4 linked regions of the Arabidopsis thaliana genome follow. The protein of the gene in region 4 interacts with the protein of the main gene of each other region in a pairwise test. Each region holds a gene or a part of one and is shown on either strand. Other genes may lie near its edges.

Region 1 (3,892 bases), on a different chromosome or scaffold from region 4:
TACGGTGAAGTTAACTGATAGGATGTGGGCTAGACTCCTTGCATCGACAAATCAACCGAGTTTCTTGACTGGTGAAGGAGCATTGCAGAATGTGATCGACATGGAAACTCAAGAAAAGATCGATAACATGAAGATCTCTTCTATCTAAGAAACAGGTCAGTTGATATTCATCAACTGTTCCAAATGTATACTAGATATATATGCATAGGAGATATCTTTATCAAAAAACCATGAAGTAATTTCATTGTTATAACTTATAAGAATTCTTTGGTTTTAGTTATTCCTAATAATAATAATCAACATCCATCTCAACGATGAGGTTGAGATGTTAATACATATCTTCCTCTGTTTACTTTTCCATATTGCAACTTGTGCATCTCTCCCCTCTTGAGCTGTTGCGTGTGGTCCATCCAATTCTTTGTCATATTTAAAAAATGAATGCTGACTTGTACCCAACCATGAGACAAAACTCTGGCTGCTATATTCTTTAAACTTGGTCCCTCTTGCAACTTGTTCATCTTTCTACTCAATTCACTGATTCACGCTTTCTGGACATGTGAACTAATTAATACCTCAGTGATATCGAATAGTGAATACTGAAGCCACTGTACGGTACTGTTTGTGTCATTGGAGAAACTTTAAGGCTTATGTTAAGGTCTTTCAGGTAGAAATTCGATTTTAAGTATCACAGTAGATTAATAAATAAATGTAGTCGATAGATTTAGGTCCTCTTGTCTTCCCAAATAGTGTACTCTGAATAAACCGAAAGGACAAGAACTTTGTTTCTAGAACCTTAAGCTCTTTAAGACAAGAGAAAACGCAGAAGTTCCATTGTTACAGGAACTCTTTAGTACATATTTTGCAAGAGTTCTTTTCAGTACACTAGTCTAACAGGTTCTTGGCTCTATACATGATGCTTCACATACTTAAGATATTAACCTATATATACTAATTAAACATCACTATTCCCCCATTAGTTTGATGACGATGATGAAGTACTTGTTGTTGTTCCTTGAGGCTGTGGTACATCGGTTCTCCTCCTTTTTCGGCATGAATTGACCGGAGCATCATACTTTCCGGCATCCAAAGGAAAGTTGAGAACAGCTTTTCTTCCCCTGAGCTTAAAAGCTGCATAGTCGTAAGCCCTTGCAGCATCAATATCACTCTCAAAAGTGCCTAACCAAATCCTGGATCCTTTCTTTGCCGGATCTCGAATCTCTGCTGCAAATTTCCCCCATGGCCTCCTTCTCACGCCTCTGTAATGTCTCGTTTCTTCAAACCTCTTTGTTTTTTTCCGGTTTGAGACAGTCTCAACCTCAGGTGACGTTGTTGTTGATGATGATGATGATGATTCTGCTTCCATTTGCAGAATCTCTTGGACATAGGAATCTGGATCAAGAACAGGTGAACTAGGTTCCAGTTTCGGAACTGGGTTAAAGGGTTCTAGAGACCAGAGTCCGGAGACAAAAGCAGTATCATCAAAGACAAAATCTTCAATGAAACCATCAGGGATCATCAAGTCTTCAAATAGATGTTTCTGTATAACATCCAAATCAGAGCTTTCCTCAAAAGTCTCCATTTCTTCCTCTCTCTTTTTTCTTTAGACAAGACAGGAGAATAAGAAAAACTGCAAGTGGTGTTTGAAGAAAAAGTTTTGATGATATTGTTGGCTATATAAAGAAAGGAATCCTAAACATGTGTTAACGCAGCCATGGGTGAGGTGTCAAAAGTCTCTCTCTGTGTCTCTCTGGTTTAACTCTGTGGGGCCAAGTCTTATCCATTAAACATTTATGGAGGCAACTTAAGATATTTTGTCAGGACCCTTCAAGTTGTGCCAACTTGATCTTGTCTATGATGCTGACAAATTTCACTAACATCCATTTTATTCCTCTAGAGTTTAAAATACCTTGAGCTACCCATGGTTCGAATCCTAAGCTGAATGCTAACAAAATGGTGATTATTTTTTTTAACTAGAATTTTGATTGAGTTGGTTAAGGACGTAGGTTCATTTGAAATTTTAAATCTAAAACATAACACAAACCAAAACCAAAAAGACTTGAACTACTAGTGTTTATAATCGTAACTTAAGTCTTTAAAAGCCAATCTCTCAAAAGTTTTTTCTTTTTTTTTTTTATCTTAAAAGTTTTATGATAAGATTGATATATGATTTTCGTAGTAGTAATGACTCACTAGGTAAGCTCTTAAATATCAAAAGATATTTTGCATATTCACATTCGAGTAAAAAGATAAGAAGATAATGACTTTCACTCGAATAAAAAGGAGAGACAAATTCATCAAATTGCTTGTCTTGTAGGGTTGTCTTGCTAGGATATGATTTGAAGCAACTTGATATTTCTTTGTTTCTACATAACTTCGTATAGGGCTCCACATATATAATAACCAAACCTTACCCTCTTGCTCAGTTGCTTGACAATTATACTCCTAATCTCATAATCTTTTATAATAGCATGTAAGATAATATTAATTATTTACTTTTATTGATGCTTTGTAGATAATCTTCGACAGCATTATCCATTTGATTGGTGTTTTCCACTATTGAAATTTTGAATTTGTTTAGATTTGTATGTATTTTTAACTAATTAATTGTCTTTTCGTTGCACACTATTTTTTTATAGCTCCGATTTACTTTTTCCTGATCCAATTTTATAATCTATTGACTATTTAGCAGATATGAAGTGTTTAGATATGGACTTAACGAAACTGATGACTAAGAATGTTTATACAATCAATAAATTTATAACATCAACAAATACAAAATTAAATTTATATTTTCAACATCCAAATATTCTACTAAAAAAAATAATGAATAAAATGATTGGTACTAATTAAACTACTTATTTGATATTTGCACACTACCGCTACCTTTATATTATACAAGAATAAATGAAATCATGAGAGTGACGCAAGTGAAAACGTCATCGTACGTTGACTTTTCCGAAGTTTTAAGTGACGGAGATAACGGAAAAGTTGGGAGACGTCGGAGATAACGGAGGAATACTGAAAATACCATCTCCTGCTCCCACATCCCAAAACCCCATCCAACTTGACGGCGTCAATGGTACCACCGGCTCAACCTCAGCCTCCGTCGTCTCCGACGTATTACTCTCTTCTTCCTCCACTTTAACCCTAGCCGCCTTCTCCTCTTCCGGCGGAGAACCCTTATCTCGCTTTCGTTTCCCTAATCCGATAACTCCTTCCCCAGAACAAGTTTCTGACGTAACCCTAACATCGAGAGGGAAATTCAAGATTGCTTTTCTTCCACGTAATTGAAACGCCGCTTGGTCATAAGCTCTTCCAGCTTCCACGGCAGTGTCGTAAGTCCCAAGCCAGATCCTACAACCCTTTTTGTTCGGATCCCTAATCTCCGCCGCGTATTTTCCCCACGGTCTTCGTCTCACTCCCCTGTAGTGCCTCTCTTCTTCCTCTTTCTCTGTCTTTGTTGAAACCGTTCTCGAGACGGATAGATTCGGTAAGGGCGGTTTACGCTGGTTAAGAGTCGAATTCGGTTTAGGGGATTGGTTGGTGATGGTTCTAGGGCCTGTTTCTGAGTGAAAGTTGTGAAGTTGGTTGGTAAAAAGAGATGGGTGATCAGTTTCCATGGAAACAAAGTCTGTGAGAAGGTGTTGGCTTATGAAATCGATGGCTAAAGCTTCTTGTTTAGTTGCCATCTTCACTCTACTTGATTGACTCTCTTGCTCTGTTGTATATGTGTATGTGTGGAAGTGGGAATAAGAGTGACGAGGAATCGGACTTTCTTATATAGTGGTAAAAAAACAAAGAGAGGGTTCGAGCCTTCGAGGGAGTTTCGAGGATCGGACCGAGAAAGATCATACTACCTTTTCTTGGACTTGTTACTTATTTTCTCTCTTTA
Region 2 (4,363 bases), on a different chromosome or scaffold from region 4:
CCGGATCTTTCTTTTGCTTTATTCTCCAAAGAAATGTGATGATTCCATAAGACAAACCTGTCTTTTTTACTACAATAGTCACTGGGACAAACCAGTAACTGTACTTTATGATTCCATGTCTACTCGATTTAGGTTTTTGTTTTCAATTCAGTTGTGGCGTGCTCGTACCAAAAGCACATGGTCTCTGTTGAATTCTCTCCACAATGATTTAATGTTCCTTCACAAAAAGATGGGTTATTTGTTTTTTTTTTAACACTCGTGCTCTTTTTTTTATAGAAAACAGTGCTGAAATATCACTGCTTTATGTTTCTTATTCAATCATATGCCTTGATTTGAGGACACACAAACAAAACAAGACAGAGTCGTGTGTAGCCTTTGAGTACTATGAAAAGAGCTGCTTTATTAAAGTGATTGTTTTTCTAATTAAAGATCTCCTTAATGGAGATATTAATTACCTAATTTATAGTTGACAAAAAATCATCTAATTTGTCTTCCTAATCCTTTTTAAAAATCCACAATATTCTATATACCTTTATAAGATTCTGACTGTGACTGGTATTATTACAGAGTGTGGAAATTAAATAATGTGTAGTGGAATCACGATATTGTGAGAATAAATCATTAAATTAAGACCAATTTTTTTAAAAATTTTTTGTCTTTAATATGACAGAATAAGTGGTTTACCAAAAAATAAAAAAATAACAGAAAAAGTGAACATACTCAATAAAATAGTATTGATTGATAAAACAGCAAAAAAAGAAACACAAATTATCTAATCTTTCGGCCATTCCACGAAGTAGGCTCTAAATTTGTAGGAAGTAATGGAACGAGACATCACATTTTATACACAAATTAACACCAGACTTTACAGTTCTTAGAACAAAACTAATCTATGAGTTTTCATGTGTAATGTACTAATGTTACATTTTTGATTCAGTATAAGAGTCTAATTCCACAAACTAGATGTGTCCAAATGCTGCGGAGGAGTGGAGAAAGTACTTGAGATCGGCATCAGACAAAGACCGCGGCTTCGAAGATCTTGTCTTGGACTACAATTTTGATTATGAGTATTATTGCTTGATTTGTCTGACCACTAGAAATTGAAAGAATCTTATTAATGATCATAAGCAAAAGAACAAAAATCAAACTACTTAATTGATTTTAGATTATAGAGTTGTTTAACCGTTAACTAAGTTAAGTACCTGCTTCTGTTCACCAGATCCTATAGAGTTCAGGTGTGGACTAGTAGAGACCTTTTCCTATTTAAATGATTATAAAAAGAATAAATATAACAGTTAACTAAAACCAACAATTAATTAGTAGTAGTATTTCATATTTGAGAGATTATCAACTTACAGTGATTTGTTCTTGTAGAAACTTGATGTAATCTATAGCATCATGGAGGACAGAAGCAGTGTCTGTCTGTAAAAATCATCACAAAATAATAATAAATAAATTTGAAAACAGAAGTAGCTAAAAAAATTTCGTAATTATGTATGGATAATATATAGTAGAGATATCAATATAACAGATCATGAATTCATGATGAACACAAACCTTGCCAAAGGGTGAAACTAACTGTTGAAGCGCGGTAATTCGATCTCCGAGTTTCTCTTTACGAACCTTATCAATCAAAATAGTTTTTGGAAAAATATCAGCAATAGTTTGTGCATGGGTATGTGTTTCTTAGCATAACTAACTTTTTTTAGTGATAAATGACAATCCTTGAAAACTGTAGTAAGATCATTTGTTACTAACTTTGAAGCTCGGAAAATGAGATGGTGTCTCAAGTCTTGGCCTTTTTAATGGCTGTGATGACTCAATATCTTCGAGTTCTCCACTTTTCTCACTTGCTCTCTAAAAATAATTGGTCACAATGTCAAAATCTACAGAAATATTGTAAAATATCTCTATTAAAAGAAACTAATTAAATAGATTTGCCCACCTTGCATGTAGTCAGACTCTTGCAAGCTTGCATGTCTTCCTTGGGTTTTTGGTGATCAAATACTGATATCATTCTTGATTCGTTCGGGAAAACGTCATCAAAGAAGTGAAAGCTTTCGAATAGTTCTGGTTTGGGACAGTTAGGAACCAATAATTGCTCACTAGAATCAAACAATCCTTCTAGAAAACTATTTATCTGATTGTATCGTTCTTCTTCATGGCTGGTAAAAAAGAGAAAAGAAAAAGAATGTCAGGATTCAGGAACAAAGATCATGATTTTACGTTATACGTCACGTAAGATGATAAATGGACTTACATGTTAGATGGACTCGAAACGTAGATTTGTGATGTGGTATCAAGATTTGCATTGCCTAAGAATGTGGAAGTACTAAGGTAGTTCTCGTTGTAAGTTTTGGCATCAAGGGTATCAATGTTTTGCCATTCAATCTCACCAAAATCGACAACAATCTCCGCGGAACGTGGCAGAGAACAGCCTGAGAACATGCCGTTGGAGGAGCTCCACCATGTTCCGGTACAAACTCCCGTAGTGTCGAATTCTTCTGTCATGTTTTGTTGGTTACGTAGACAATGGTTTAGTTTGTGTAGACTTATTTCTTCGTAAGTGTCAGAGTTTGCATGAGACAGTAATGATGTTGATGATGGGGATTGTATTTATATGTAGCGATGAGGTTTAAGTCAACTAACAAAGTTATAATATTTGTTAAAAAAAAGTTTTGTACAAGAGTTTTATATGTTATTGGTACTTCCCTAATTAATCTATTAATTATTTAGATAATGTATGTTTATCAGAGTAGTCGATAGGAAGTTAGGTCAAGCAAATTAAGTAATTAAAAGATGACAAATTTTTTTTACCAACGTACGTACAATGTAAAGTTTAGTTTTGATTTTGGTTAATCAAATAAAAACTTTGATGTACATGTGAGTTTGTGAGTTGTGACCCTATCTTCTCAAACATTGTAAAACAGAGTTAATTTCTTACTATCATCATAATTACTACTTTTCTTACTCTTTGATATGGGATGGTAATACTAAAATGTTTGATATATGTTGAAGTATATATATTTATTTATTTATTTTTATGTGTTGAACGCAGTTGAAGTATTAACTTGTCAAGGGGAAAAAAGTAATAAAATTTTAGTTAAACAAATAATGTGAATATATTTTTAATTAAGTCATCGTACGGATATGGTATTTATTTTACTTGCAAATTGTATATTTGTATAGCAATGCATATTTATTAACTACTGTTTTGGGGGTTTACTGATTCAAATAATTAAAAACAAAAATGACGTCACAGTTATATATGTCAATATAGAAAGAATATGTTTGTCGTCCAAAAAATAATCTCATTTTTGGGATGGTCGATGAATACGTACAAGGAAAAGAAAGTCAGCGTTACCAAATCCATCGCAAAAGGGTAGTTGTTGGCTGGCCTCGTTTTGATCTATACGACTCCGGACGTCTTTTGTTTGTACACAGTTACGTGCGCATATCTGACCTACGTGTCGACTCTTTAAAAAAAAATGTAAAAACTTCAAACAAATATGGATTTACATTGTAAACAAATTTTTTTTGAAATATATGGATTTAGATCAATCTTGCTCTTTGGAGAAAATAGCTTATTGGTTTTGCTTCAAGCCTCTCCAAATGATATCATAACTTATAGGAATTAGGATTACACTTAATTGAGTTTCATTGTGCTTTATATATGGATATGACAACAAAAAGAGAGTTATCGAAATAAGTTTTTTTTCCCTAATTGAACAGAAAATATAAATTAATACAACTATTTGAAAAGAAGTAGTTAATAAGACGTATACCATATATGCATTCACCAAAGAATGAAGACTTTCTTTAATTATAATTTTTGTTTTGTAATGGACATGATTAAAATATATATTTTTACTTTCTGAAATTTATTAAAATGAATTGTTGATATTCGGATATAATCACTAACAAACAACTGTATAAATGTATAAATGGATTAAGTCAGACCGTCCCCTCCAATCCATTTGGGTTATTTTAGGTTTGATCTTTAAATTTAGAAAGATTCCCAAAATATGTGCTCATGTCATATGGTTTGACTCAGCAAATTATTTTAATATTTTTAGTCAATAGATATATTAAATATTTGTAGACTTCGAGTGACTTAGGTTACAGTACACCAACTTCAATAAGAAGAATTTAACCAAGTAAATTATTAATTAATCAACCTTCACTGGTTTTTCTGTTTATATACAATTTAACTTGTTTTCATACGATTTGAGTTCAATAGAATTTTAAGACCAACATTCTTAAGACTATATAGAGATTGTTGATTTGATTCATTTGACATGAGGAAACGGTCCATCGTTTTATTTCATTGAGAGTGGAAACTATAAATTATTTTATATTGTTA
Region 3 (5,685 bases), on a different chromosome or scaffold from region 4:
CATATTAACACATTACTCTCTCTTATTCGTGGAATCTAATTATTCCCTTTCAAAAATTAGAATAGCTAAAAAAAGGAAGAAACAAAAGCTCCTTTTCTCCATAATTAAATCACCTTTCTCCTTCTCTGAATCAATGAAGACAATACTTACATTATAGATCCCTACATTCTTCTCTAACGAATAACTTAACATCTATCTTTCATACATAACATCTATTCTTCTCTGAATCAATGTTTATACTCTTTGGAGGGAACGGAACACTCGTCTGCACACTTCTTCTTCGAGACCTGCTGCTGGACTGATTATGGAGATAAAGAATCTTATTCGCACTCATCTTGATCCTCTCTCACGAGCTCAACGTATTGGCCCCAATGGTTTATCGTACCTCGCCACTTGGTTCGGTCTCTTTATTTGATCATATGCTTTGTTTTACTTTTCTTTGTTGTTTTGTAGGTGTTACTCGTTTTGGAGGCGGTGTGTATTCGATTTCGTTTTATAAATGAAGGTAATGTTAAAAAAAAAAAAAAAAAAAAAAAAAAAAAACATCTATCTTTCATACATAACTATTATAACCCCCCAAAAAAACCTATAGATATATGTTTGGAATTAATTTGGTCGTGTGAAAAAATACATGTCAAATCTCAATAGCTCTTATATATCTATGCATGGTTCTTCAATTACACATTATTTTTTAGTTCTATGAATAAGAAGTATAAATGGACAACACGTTTCACTTGTCCATTAACTTATCTCCTCTTCGTTTAAAAATGCGGTGATTCTTATCAGCAATCAACGTATATATTATAAGTTAAAAAAGATACGTACGTTACCCGACATCTAATATACGATTTTCCGTCTATATATCTATCTAAAAGTCCCACCAAATGTAGGAGTCCAGAAATCTACTGTAGTATCGTGTGTCACTGGAAATGTGCTTGAAACTGGCACTAAGCATAAACCTCGACTTCTAAGATCTGGTTCTTCTGATACTTCTAGCTCTGTGGAATGATCACTCTGCATCATCATTAGAAAACAAAGAAAAAATATAAGTTGCAAATGATTTCTTTTTTCGTTGCAAAAACCGTCTCGCTACATTGTTTCTTGGAATAATGCTTTATTGTCCAATCTTAAAGATGAAGCAACCATATTAAATACATGTAATAAAGAATGCGAACGAGAGCCATACGTTTATTCAATGGTATAATAATAATAACAGTATGATAATGGTTTAATAATGTATACATAAAATTATATAATTAAAATATTACCTGTTGATGTTGTAAAGAAGCTCCACTTTTCATGTATGGGTTGCTCAGAGCCTGAGTTATAATCATTTGCAGGTTTGTTGTACATCAGTAGAAGAAATACAATAACTAACTAAACTGTAGCAGAAAATGTTTGTGTACTAAAAATACGAAGGAGTGGGCTAACTTACAGAAACTTGTTGGTGTAAGAACTTAATGTATTCAATGGCTTCAGAGAGCACTGAGGCTGCATCAGTCTGACACAAAAGCACATGAGATTCAGTAAAACAAAATCTAAGAAATGGTATATCATTCATTCATCTCCAACATAAATATCTATTGAAATAGACCTTACATATAAAATAAATCCATAAAGATATAATAACAATAACATGATAAGTAATAATGACAGTATACAAATATACTAATACACACTCATCATCTTTCTGAAAGGTAAAGCAAAAATTTGCAGACAATGAGAGAGAGAGAGATAGTACCTTTCCGAAAGGTGAAACCAATTGTTGGAGCGCAGCGATTCTGTCCCCCATTTTCTCTTTCCTCTAATTCAGCAAAATTTTATCAAAACAAATCCTTGTTATAAAAAAAATACTATGAAGTAAAAAAACTAAAGAGATCTAGTATAAGCAATTATGCAAGAATTGTGGGAAGAATGTTTGTTTTCTTGATATAAAATAAAACAACTTCGCAATAAAAGAATGTTTCATAATATCCTATCATGCATATACTTTGGTGGTAAATGATAAACCTAATTTTATTGTTCAAATTAGGGTTTCGGTTTTGTTTAATAGAAAGATTCGGATTGTTTTGGCAAAACCATGGAAAGCTGGTTTTATTTCAATGTCGTTAAAGATGCTTTTATTTTCATACCAAAAAGAAGCTTTATTGTTTATTTTCCCCTTATTTAAAAAATAATATCAACAAAGCAAAATACCTTGAAAGCTGGTGACGGAGACGCTGCTTCGCTCTTAGCTCTTTTCGCCGCCGGCTGATGATCGTTTCCTCCTCTCTTTACTTCGTTGCTACTTGAATCTCTAATCTCCGATATATTCTACGACCAACCAATACATATAAATTATATAGATCATATCCATAAATCTAAATAAAGTAGTTCGTGTAGCTATAAATATATACCTTTGGTTGTTCGTCAAAACTCTGCGGATGAATCTGCGGCGGTTGTAACGCCGGGAAAAAGTTAGAAGACGCGTCATGAGGAGGAGGAGCACCGGCGTTTCCCGCAGCCGCGGGGTTCCAAAACGTTGCGTTATTAGAGAATCTCAAAGGACTGTGTGGTTTTGGCGGCGGAGAAGATCTTAAAAACCAAGTCGATGGTAACGCTGACGCCATTTGATCATAGTTTCCGGTGGATGATCCAAACTGAGAATAGCCAAGAGATGACTGTTGATGATTCCTCGACGGTTGTTGATCAGAAGAGCCAAAACCACCTGCTTGCTGATGATGAAACATACCGGAAGATGAATTAGGAGTTGTTGTTGTTGCTGCGTACATGGCGTTTGACGAGTTGTCAACAGCGAAACCTTGACATGTTACTGTGCTACTGTCGGTACTTGAGCTACCATGAGGACTGAACTGATGATCTAAGAAAAACCCGCGATTACCACCACTCGTTAAAATCTGCGGTTTGAAATCGCTTTGTGGATCTCGCCACAAAGCTTGATGATGGTGAGAGGAATCAGATTCTTGCAGCTGGTAAGAAGATGTGGATGACGTTGTGTTAGCGTTTGCGTTTGAAGTGGCATCTAAATTGAGATTCTCTTGAAGCATCACACCAAAGCTTGTCTCCGCTTTACTATCTCCTCGTCTTTTGTTCCCCGCAAAGAAAAAGAAAACAAAGACAAAACACATAAATCTTATGACTGAAACCAAATAAAAAAAAAGAAACAAAATTGAGACTTACAAGAGAGATTGGTTCCATTGATCAACAGGTGATTGTGAAGAAAGTCCTAAACCAATCATCTGAAGATGGTGATCAGTAGCTAAAGAATGATGATGAAGCTTATCATGGAAAACAGCAGAACCACCAGATTCAATAGAGCTTGCTCTCATGGAAGAAGAAGAAGATGGTGAAGAAGAAGAAGATACTTTCCACCAGCTTCCTGAGTTGATGAAATCATGATGATCTCCCATAGCTTCTTTTTTTCTCACTATATATATATATATATATATATGTGTGTGTGTATTGATGTTGGATCTTAATTTGTTGTGTCTTCTCAGATTGTGGTTACATGAAATGATGAGGATCCACACGAGAGAGATACTTATAGTTATAAATATTTATCAATTTAAATTGGATATTTTTTCCTGGTAGGGTTTTCGTGAACTATTTATGAAGAGTGAAGACATCCGATTAATGTTTGGTTGACATTTTTTCAGGTGGCTCTCGCTGACTCTCTTGCCCACGTCATTCCCAACTTCTGTTTTTGTTTTACTAAAGATATTGTTGATTTTTCCATTGGTTACAACTAAAAAGAATAAGTATTTCATTTCTCCTACTTTCCTTTATATTTTGGTAAAGTTTCCTTTTATTCATTTTGCAAGCATATATTATATCACTCTTTATAATTTAATTTATTTTTTGGTCACCCTACTCGCAATGATACAATAACAACATTTTGTAAAATATATTTTGTATTAACATCCTTCAATTTAGTGAATGTAAATGTAACAACCTTTTAATTCATTAACTAGTAATGATTGATACTTGATAGGAAAACAAAATAAATCTAGATTTAAGTATTTCACATTGAGAAGTAAAACACTAGCTAATGAGGAAATACAAATTGACTTTGTAGATAGATTTTTGGGATAAAAAAGGAGGTTGAAATGGATTTGACTTATTTTAAGCAAGAGAGACCAAGGATGGACTAGAAGGAGCGGGTCACAGTCACGGTCACAGTCATAGTCACAAACCACTGAGATATTTTTAAAATAATTCTATTCATTTTAATATTTTGGCCTTTGAGTTTGGCTATGAAACTTCAGCGTTTATTTTTTTCCAGTCACAGCAAGTCAACGAGTGGGCTCCACGTGGCGTGCGCGCGTGCTTTCACACTTGGACCCCACTTGTTTCGTCTCAGAGTCAGAGCCTGAATATGACTCTTCTCTTTTCTTTTCTTTTTAAAAAATCTTTTTGTTTTTCTTTTCGGCATCTTTTATTCTTAATGTTAATTACGGTAATTTTCTCTCTTAACTTTTTAGAAGATTAATTGTATATAATTTGTGTTTTATTCACTGGTCGTCTCCCTAATCATTTTCTTTTGCCTAACGTTTGTCTCTTCTCATTTTCCAATTCTCAACGAGCTCGACCAAAAAAAAAGAAGTCATATATATTGATATTGAATTTTGCTGTTAATATTCGCATTAGTGTTTGTAATTTCTATATAGTCAAACAATATATCACATACGTACTTTCTTCTCTTACAACCGCAAATTTTTTTTTTTTACAGTTTGCATGATCCTGTTTCTGTCTAAAACATTACATTCTTAATACATTGGAATCATTTTTTTTTTTTTTTTGTAATGTTAAATTCATTGAAGATACATTGGAATCATTTTGGAGTTACTGAATCCATCTTACCCGATTTATAAATAAAACCATTCGAATAATTGTTTACAAACCAAAATAATCGAAAATGTGGGTTTGGTGGTGTAATTTACCTTTTAGAATGGGGTGTTGAATATAATTTACAAAATACTTTTTTTGGAGTTGAATATAAGTTTACATTGATTCAAGAAAAATGAATGGGGGTGTTGATTGTTCATTTCTCTAAAATAACATTACAAGCGAAGTACTAACGATTACTTACTTATTAAAAGTTGATTGCCATTGGAGACACAATAGTTCCACGGCAACATTCCATTGAGTTGGTGATCTTATAATTTGAAGAAGAAGAAGAAGAATACCACCATTTTTTAACGTGCAACATTTACAAGAAAATGAAAGATTCCATTGCAAATTCACCCATGTAACTTGAGCTCGTGAGTAGTGACTATTTGAATTTACTGCTTAGCTCTATTTTTTATTAGACCACTATGGATTAACTCATCATGATCTACGCATTTTAATTTGCTCCAAGTCAAATAGTTCAAAATCCAATTGCATTGCTTACAACATTACTCTATACATTGACTACTGCACTACAAAAACTAGCTAGTGTTACTGCTCAAGGAGAAAAAAAAACGATAGACGACAATGGAATAAACTTGTTTCCAAATTGTCTTTACATTGGTTATGTCTCCATCAATTAATAGAATTATTTACCAGATTGTGTCACACGACATGCTCTTCAAATGCTATTTTTTCGCCGTCCAAAAACCGTTGGTATACGTTGGATCCATCACCCCTATGTTTTTTGAAATGTAAACCTTTTAGAATTGATTTGATATTTACATTATAGGTAAG
Region 4 (4,770 bases):
TTGTTTTTACTTTTTTCAGAAAAGAAAAAACATCTCTTTAAACGTCTGCATCAAAAACAAAACTCTGCTATGATCGATAGAAAATAAATATCACTCGTGCGAAAATATCTACATGTTAAACGATGAACTAAAATGATTAAAAAGTAATAAACATAAAGGATGATCGAAACAAATTTTTAAATATTAAATAATAATCGACCAATTAATTTTGAGTTTGATGATGTACAAATAACATTAGGTACACGTATTCAAAGGAGACAAGATTACTATAGCTTAAATTCAATTTGAAGTGCATACAACAAGATTCTTTGTATCATCATGAAAAGTTTGTCCTGCAGTTTTATGTTCACATATTATTTATTTTTTCGGCAAATTGGTTCAGATTTTAAGATTCCAAGTGTCCGACCAAATTTGATTACAAAACGCAGCCTAGTCACATCTATCTAATTCTTTAAATTTTGTTTTCATATCAAAATTGATTTCTACTATTATATATTCCCAGAGTGATTAGATCAGAATAATCAAAAGATGCCACCTAATTTATATACATAACTTTTTTGGTTTTTGATGTTGAAAAGTAGTGACAAAAGATTTTTAATAGACCATCATTTTATAACATGCAAGTAAATATCTCGATTTAAATATATTTTTAATAACATCACGAAACAAATTTGTTAAAACCTGACATAAAGTGATCCCCACCGGCCAAAATAAATCTTCTATTGGTTGTGTATTTTCTGACAAACATTTGTTTTAAAGATTTTTAATTTTAATCGGATACTTAACCATATATTTGATATGGAAATACATTATATTTTTGTTTAAAGTAAAATAATAGAACATGAGTGTAACTAGACGACCCCCAACCTGCAAACAGATTATTTGGTCTTGTGGACTGGTCTACTACTATCTCACGTGCAAACTTGACGCTGCAATGTATACATTTATCTATATGCATCTATGTATCTAAATAGTAATTAGTAACCATAGATAATGGATCTAATTCCACGAAGTTGGATAGATATTCTAAGGTAATATCTGGTAGAATTTTAATTTTCAAACCAAAAAAATTGTTACCAGATGTGAATGCGTAGAACTAAAAATTAATTGGCGTAGACCGTCCTAACTGGAAACTCAAATAACTTTGTTTACAAGTAGCATGTAACTGTATATATATAATGCTTTAGAATTTTTATGGTCCAATTGAAAATTTCACATTTTCGTTTTATTGTATCACTCACTTGTCCGACTGACGTAGAATTGCACGTCTTAATTTTTTTTTGGCGAAAACGCTAATCCGCAACAAAAAAATTTGTTAAAGTAGTCCGTAACTTTTTTTTTGGTTAAAGTAATCCGCAACATGACATATTAGTACTAACGAACTATTGTTTTTTCTATTAATTTTTTGCTATATTTAGAATTTTAAGTAGTTTAGCCATCACCATCTGTGTATCCTTACACTATACATATTCGGAAAAACTCGAAAGAGGTTTTAACTGGTTATGATCACCACCAGCAGTCCAGCACCAGTTTTCTTTCACTCGAACGTCAATATAAATTCACTGCCCACTATATCAGCTTTACCATTTCTTAATAAATTATTTATTATTTATTTGATTTTGAACTAAGAAAGATTATGGGTTTTTAGGAATAGTTCCAAACAATTAACATCTTAATAATAAAATTACTATATAATAAAACTAATTTATATTAAAAACATTATGAACAATTTTTTTCTTTATTTTCTTAACCTCTAATTATTATGAACAAGTTATTTAAATACAATTGGGATGATTATTACAAGTGCACTTTATATCTCCTTTTCAGTGTTTTTTATATATATATTGGTGACAAATACATCTTTTCTTTAGTTTTATTTTTCTTTTCGTTTTTGATCTCTGCGGGAGCATTTATTTTTGGTCAACTGTGAGAGCATCAAAAAAAAAAAAAAAAAAATTAATAGCCTCACAAAGCTTCTCTCAATTCCCTTTTTAAATAAATCACACCACTTTGTTTGATCCTCATATTTCGGTTTTCACTCTCATATCTTTCTTTTGTATATTTATTTTTGTTGAAGATTCACTCTCCTATTCTTCCTCCATGCCGGTGAGTTCTTGAGAATTTAATATTTTGTAAATCAATTTACAAAAAATCTTCATATAACTAATACCATGCTTAGTTTCCTTTAGTGGGCTTAACCCTTTTGCCTTTATTTCCCCCTCGAGACAAAAAGGAGAGCGACAAACACTTCCTGTCTAAATTTTGTTTTCTCTCCTTCTCTCTCCCTCTCTCGGTTTCTCAATCTTTCTTATTTTTTCCATAATTCTGAATTTTTCTTTTCAACAATCTCCGGCTAAAAAATGCCCTTAGAGGCTGTCGTATACCCGCAAGATCCATTCGGATATCTCTCCAATTGCAAAGATTTTATGTTCCACGACTTATACTCTCAAGAAGAGTTCGTAGCTCAAGATACGAAGAACAACATTGATAAGTTAGGGCATGAACAGAGCTTTGTGGAACAAGGTAAGGAGGACGATCATCAATGGCGAGACTATCATCAGTATCCTTTGTTGATCCCTTCGTTGGGAGAAGAGCTTGGTCTTACCGCCATTGATGTGGAGAGTCATCCTCCTCCACAGCACCGGAGGAAGAGGAGGAGAACGAGAAACTGCAAGAACAAGGAAGAGATCGAGAACCAGAGAATGACTCACATCGCCGTCGAGAGAAATCGCCGGAAACAGATGAACGAGTATCTGGCTGTGCTCCGTTCTCTAATGCCGTCGTCGTATGCTCAAAGAGTAACTTACTAATTCAATGTTTATATATGCTATATATCATTTGGTCAGGGTCATTCTTAGGTATATGTGTCTTTGTTTTATTACTTGCTTGGCTGTAGTACTCATTTCTCCATAATATATTAACACAAAAGAATAGAATGAAAATGACTGAGAATATATATTGATGTTTTTATACAATATATTAACAAGAAAATCCACCGTAAATATGGAAGGGTGACGCGTTTATATACATACTAATAATCTTTGCTGTTACATATTTTAATGTATTTTTTAAAATAAAATATTATGTGTCACCAAAAATTAGAACGAGTATGATTGAGAATATTGGGATATGTTTTAGAACAATTTCGTAATAAACTTAAGCAATTAGCAATGATACGTGTGTGTGTATATTTATACATTCAAAGATTTTTTCAATCTTTATGATAACTATATGATCTGACATGAGCGGGTTTTGGTGGTAAAGGGAGATCAAGCGTCGATAGTAGGAGGAGCTATAAACTACGTGAAGGAGTTAGAGCATATTTTACAATCTATGGAGCCGAAGAGAACTAGGACTCATGATCCCAAAGGAGACAAGACTAGCACTAGCTCGTTAGTGGGTCCATTCACAGATTTTTTCAGCTTCCCACAATATTCTACAAAGTCATCATCAGATGTACCGGAAAGCTCATCTTCACCGGCGGAGATAGAGGTTACGGTGGCAGAAAGCCATGCGAACATCAAGATAATGACGAAGAAGAAACCGAGGCAGCTTCTTAAGCTCATAACTTCTTTACAAAGCCTAAGGCTCACTCTTCTTCATCTCAATGTCACCACTCTCCACAACTCCATTCTCTACTCCATCAGCGTCAGGGTACGTACATTTTCAACTTCTCATCATTACTTTGTTTGCTTTTGGGGTAATCATGAGATTAAAGTGAGTAATGACTGTGTGTGTGGTGCATATGGTTTCACTTTGTTGATTTATTTTTTTGTCTCTTATTGTTGGGGGGAAATTTTGGATTAGTACTATTGTGGTTATGCCTGGGCTTTAAAAAGGTTGTGAAGAAAAATTAAAATCATTCTCTTTGTTTTTTTCTTACCTCCTTTGGGTACTTAGGGCTGGGGCCTCAATAGTTGTGGGTCAAACTCATAATCATCATTTTGATTATTATTTTTGTCAATAATAAATTGCGTATCTTAATCGTGCCTGTAAGAATCAGGGGACCAACCTAAAGAAACGAAACACGAATATGTGTCTATCTATATCCACGAATTGTATACGTGGTGTTGTGTATTTATATATGTTTATGTATATGTTTATGTACTGTGGATATATGTTCGGTGGTCACATAATTGTAGATGAGATATGTACGGACAACGAAGTGAGTCCACCATTTGTTTCAGGAGATATTTAGCAAATAGAAAGATATTTTGTTATAGTTATCTACATCCTTCTAATTTTGTTTGTTGCAACTTTTTTCAAGAATTGTTATGTATATCTTTATTTCTTAAGAGAAAATGTGTTGGTTCAGGTTGAAGAAGGAAGCCAACTGAATACCGTGGACGACATTGCAACAGCTTTGAATCAAACCATAAGGAGGATTCAAGAAGAGACATAATTCAGCAAATAGATTATAATTAACTTGTTTTATTTTTATTTTATTTTGAAATAACTGAAATCAGTTTTCTAATTTTTTTTTTTTTTCACTATTCCTCTAATCCTCCCTATGTAAGTTGCATTTTTGTCTCTTGTAATGAATCAATGGTCATAAAGATCTGAACAAAAAAATTGAATAAAAGAAAATGGTTTAAGTCGATAAGTATGTGACATTGGGCGCTAATAGCCGTTAGGCCTACGCCTAATGTACTTCTCAGTGTTTTTAGGGTTGTGTTTAGTGTATAATTATAATGATTAATAGTATGATTGATTAATTTTTGAATTTATTTTCTTCAAAGATGAATTCGTCTTTTTCTAGAACTTTTAAAG

The links.
Region 1: the proteins of AT1G22490 (region 4) and AT5G61590 interact in a two-hybrid assay, tested with the Arabidopsis thaliana proteins (one large-scale study listed by BioGRID).
Region 2: the proteins of AT1G22490 (region 4) and B70 interact in a two-hybrid assay, tested with the Arabidopsis thaliana proteins (one large-scale study listed by BioGRID).
Region 3: the proteins of AT1G22490 (region 4) and AT3G20640 interact in a two-hybrid assay, tested with the Arabidopsis thaliana proteins (one large-scale study listed by BioGRID).

The regions. Positions count from the first base shown.
Region 1 is NC_003076.8:24,763,680-24,767,571, forward strand, and holds AT5G61590 (Integrase-type DNA-binding superfamily protein), read right to left. Parts: upstream 1,833-3,892; 5' UTR 1,580-1,832; coding exon 974-1,579; 3' UTR 577-973; downstream 1-576. Other genes in the region: PFK4 (phosphofructokinase 4), read left to right, coding at 1-148; ERF104 (ethylene response factor 104), read right to left, coding at 2,964-3,689.
Region 2 is NC_003075.7:11,351,212-11,355,574, reverse strand, and holds B70 (basic helix-loop-helix (bHLH) DNA-binding superfamily protein), read right to left. Parts: upstream 2,618-4,363; 5' UTR 2,512-2,617; coding exon 2,261-2,511; intron 2,166-2,260; coding exon 1,946-2,165; intron 1,858-1,945; coding exon 1,759-1,857; intron 1,624-1,758; coding exon 1,558-1,623; intron 1,423-1,557; coding exon 1,357-1,422; intron 1,260-1,356; coding exon 1,203-1,259; intron 1,094-1,202; coding exon 947-1,093; 3' UTR 751-946; downstream 1-750.
Region 3 is NC_003074.8:7,209,790-7,215,474, forward strand, and holds AT3G20640 (basic helix-loop-helix (bHLH) DNA-binding superfamily protein), read right to left. Parts: upstream 3,686-5,685; 5' UTR 3,411-3,685; coding exon 3,181-3,410; exon of another isoform or gene 3,129-3,180; coding exon of another isoform or gene 3,085-3,128; coding exon 2,397-3,084; intron 2,314-2,396; coding exon 2,197-2,313; intron 1,805-2,196; coding exon 1,742-1,804; intron 1,502-1,741; coding exon 1,436-1,501; coding exon of another isoform or gene 1,427-1,435; exon of another isoform or gene 1,320-1,426; coding exon 1,269-1,319; coding exon of another isoform or gene 1,257-1,268; exon of another isoform or gene 1,015-1,256; coding exon 865-1,014; 3' UTR 521-864; downstream 1-520.
Region 4 is NC_003070.9:7,938,080-7,942,849, reverse strand, and holds AT1G22490 (basic helix-loop-helix (bHLH) DNA-binding superfamily protein), read left to right. Parts: upstream 1-2,224; 5' UTR 2,225-2,360; coding exon 2,361-2,798; intron 2,799-3,264; coding exon 3,265-3,807; 3' UTR 3,808-4,253; downstream 4,254-4,770.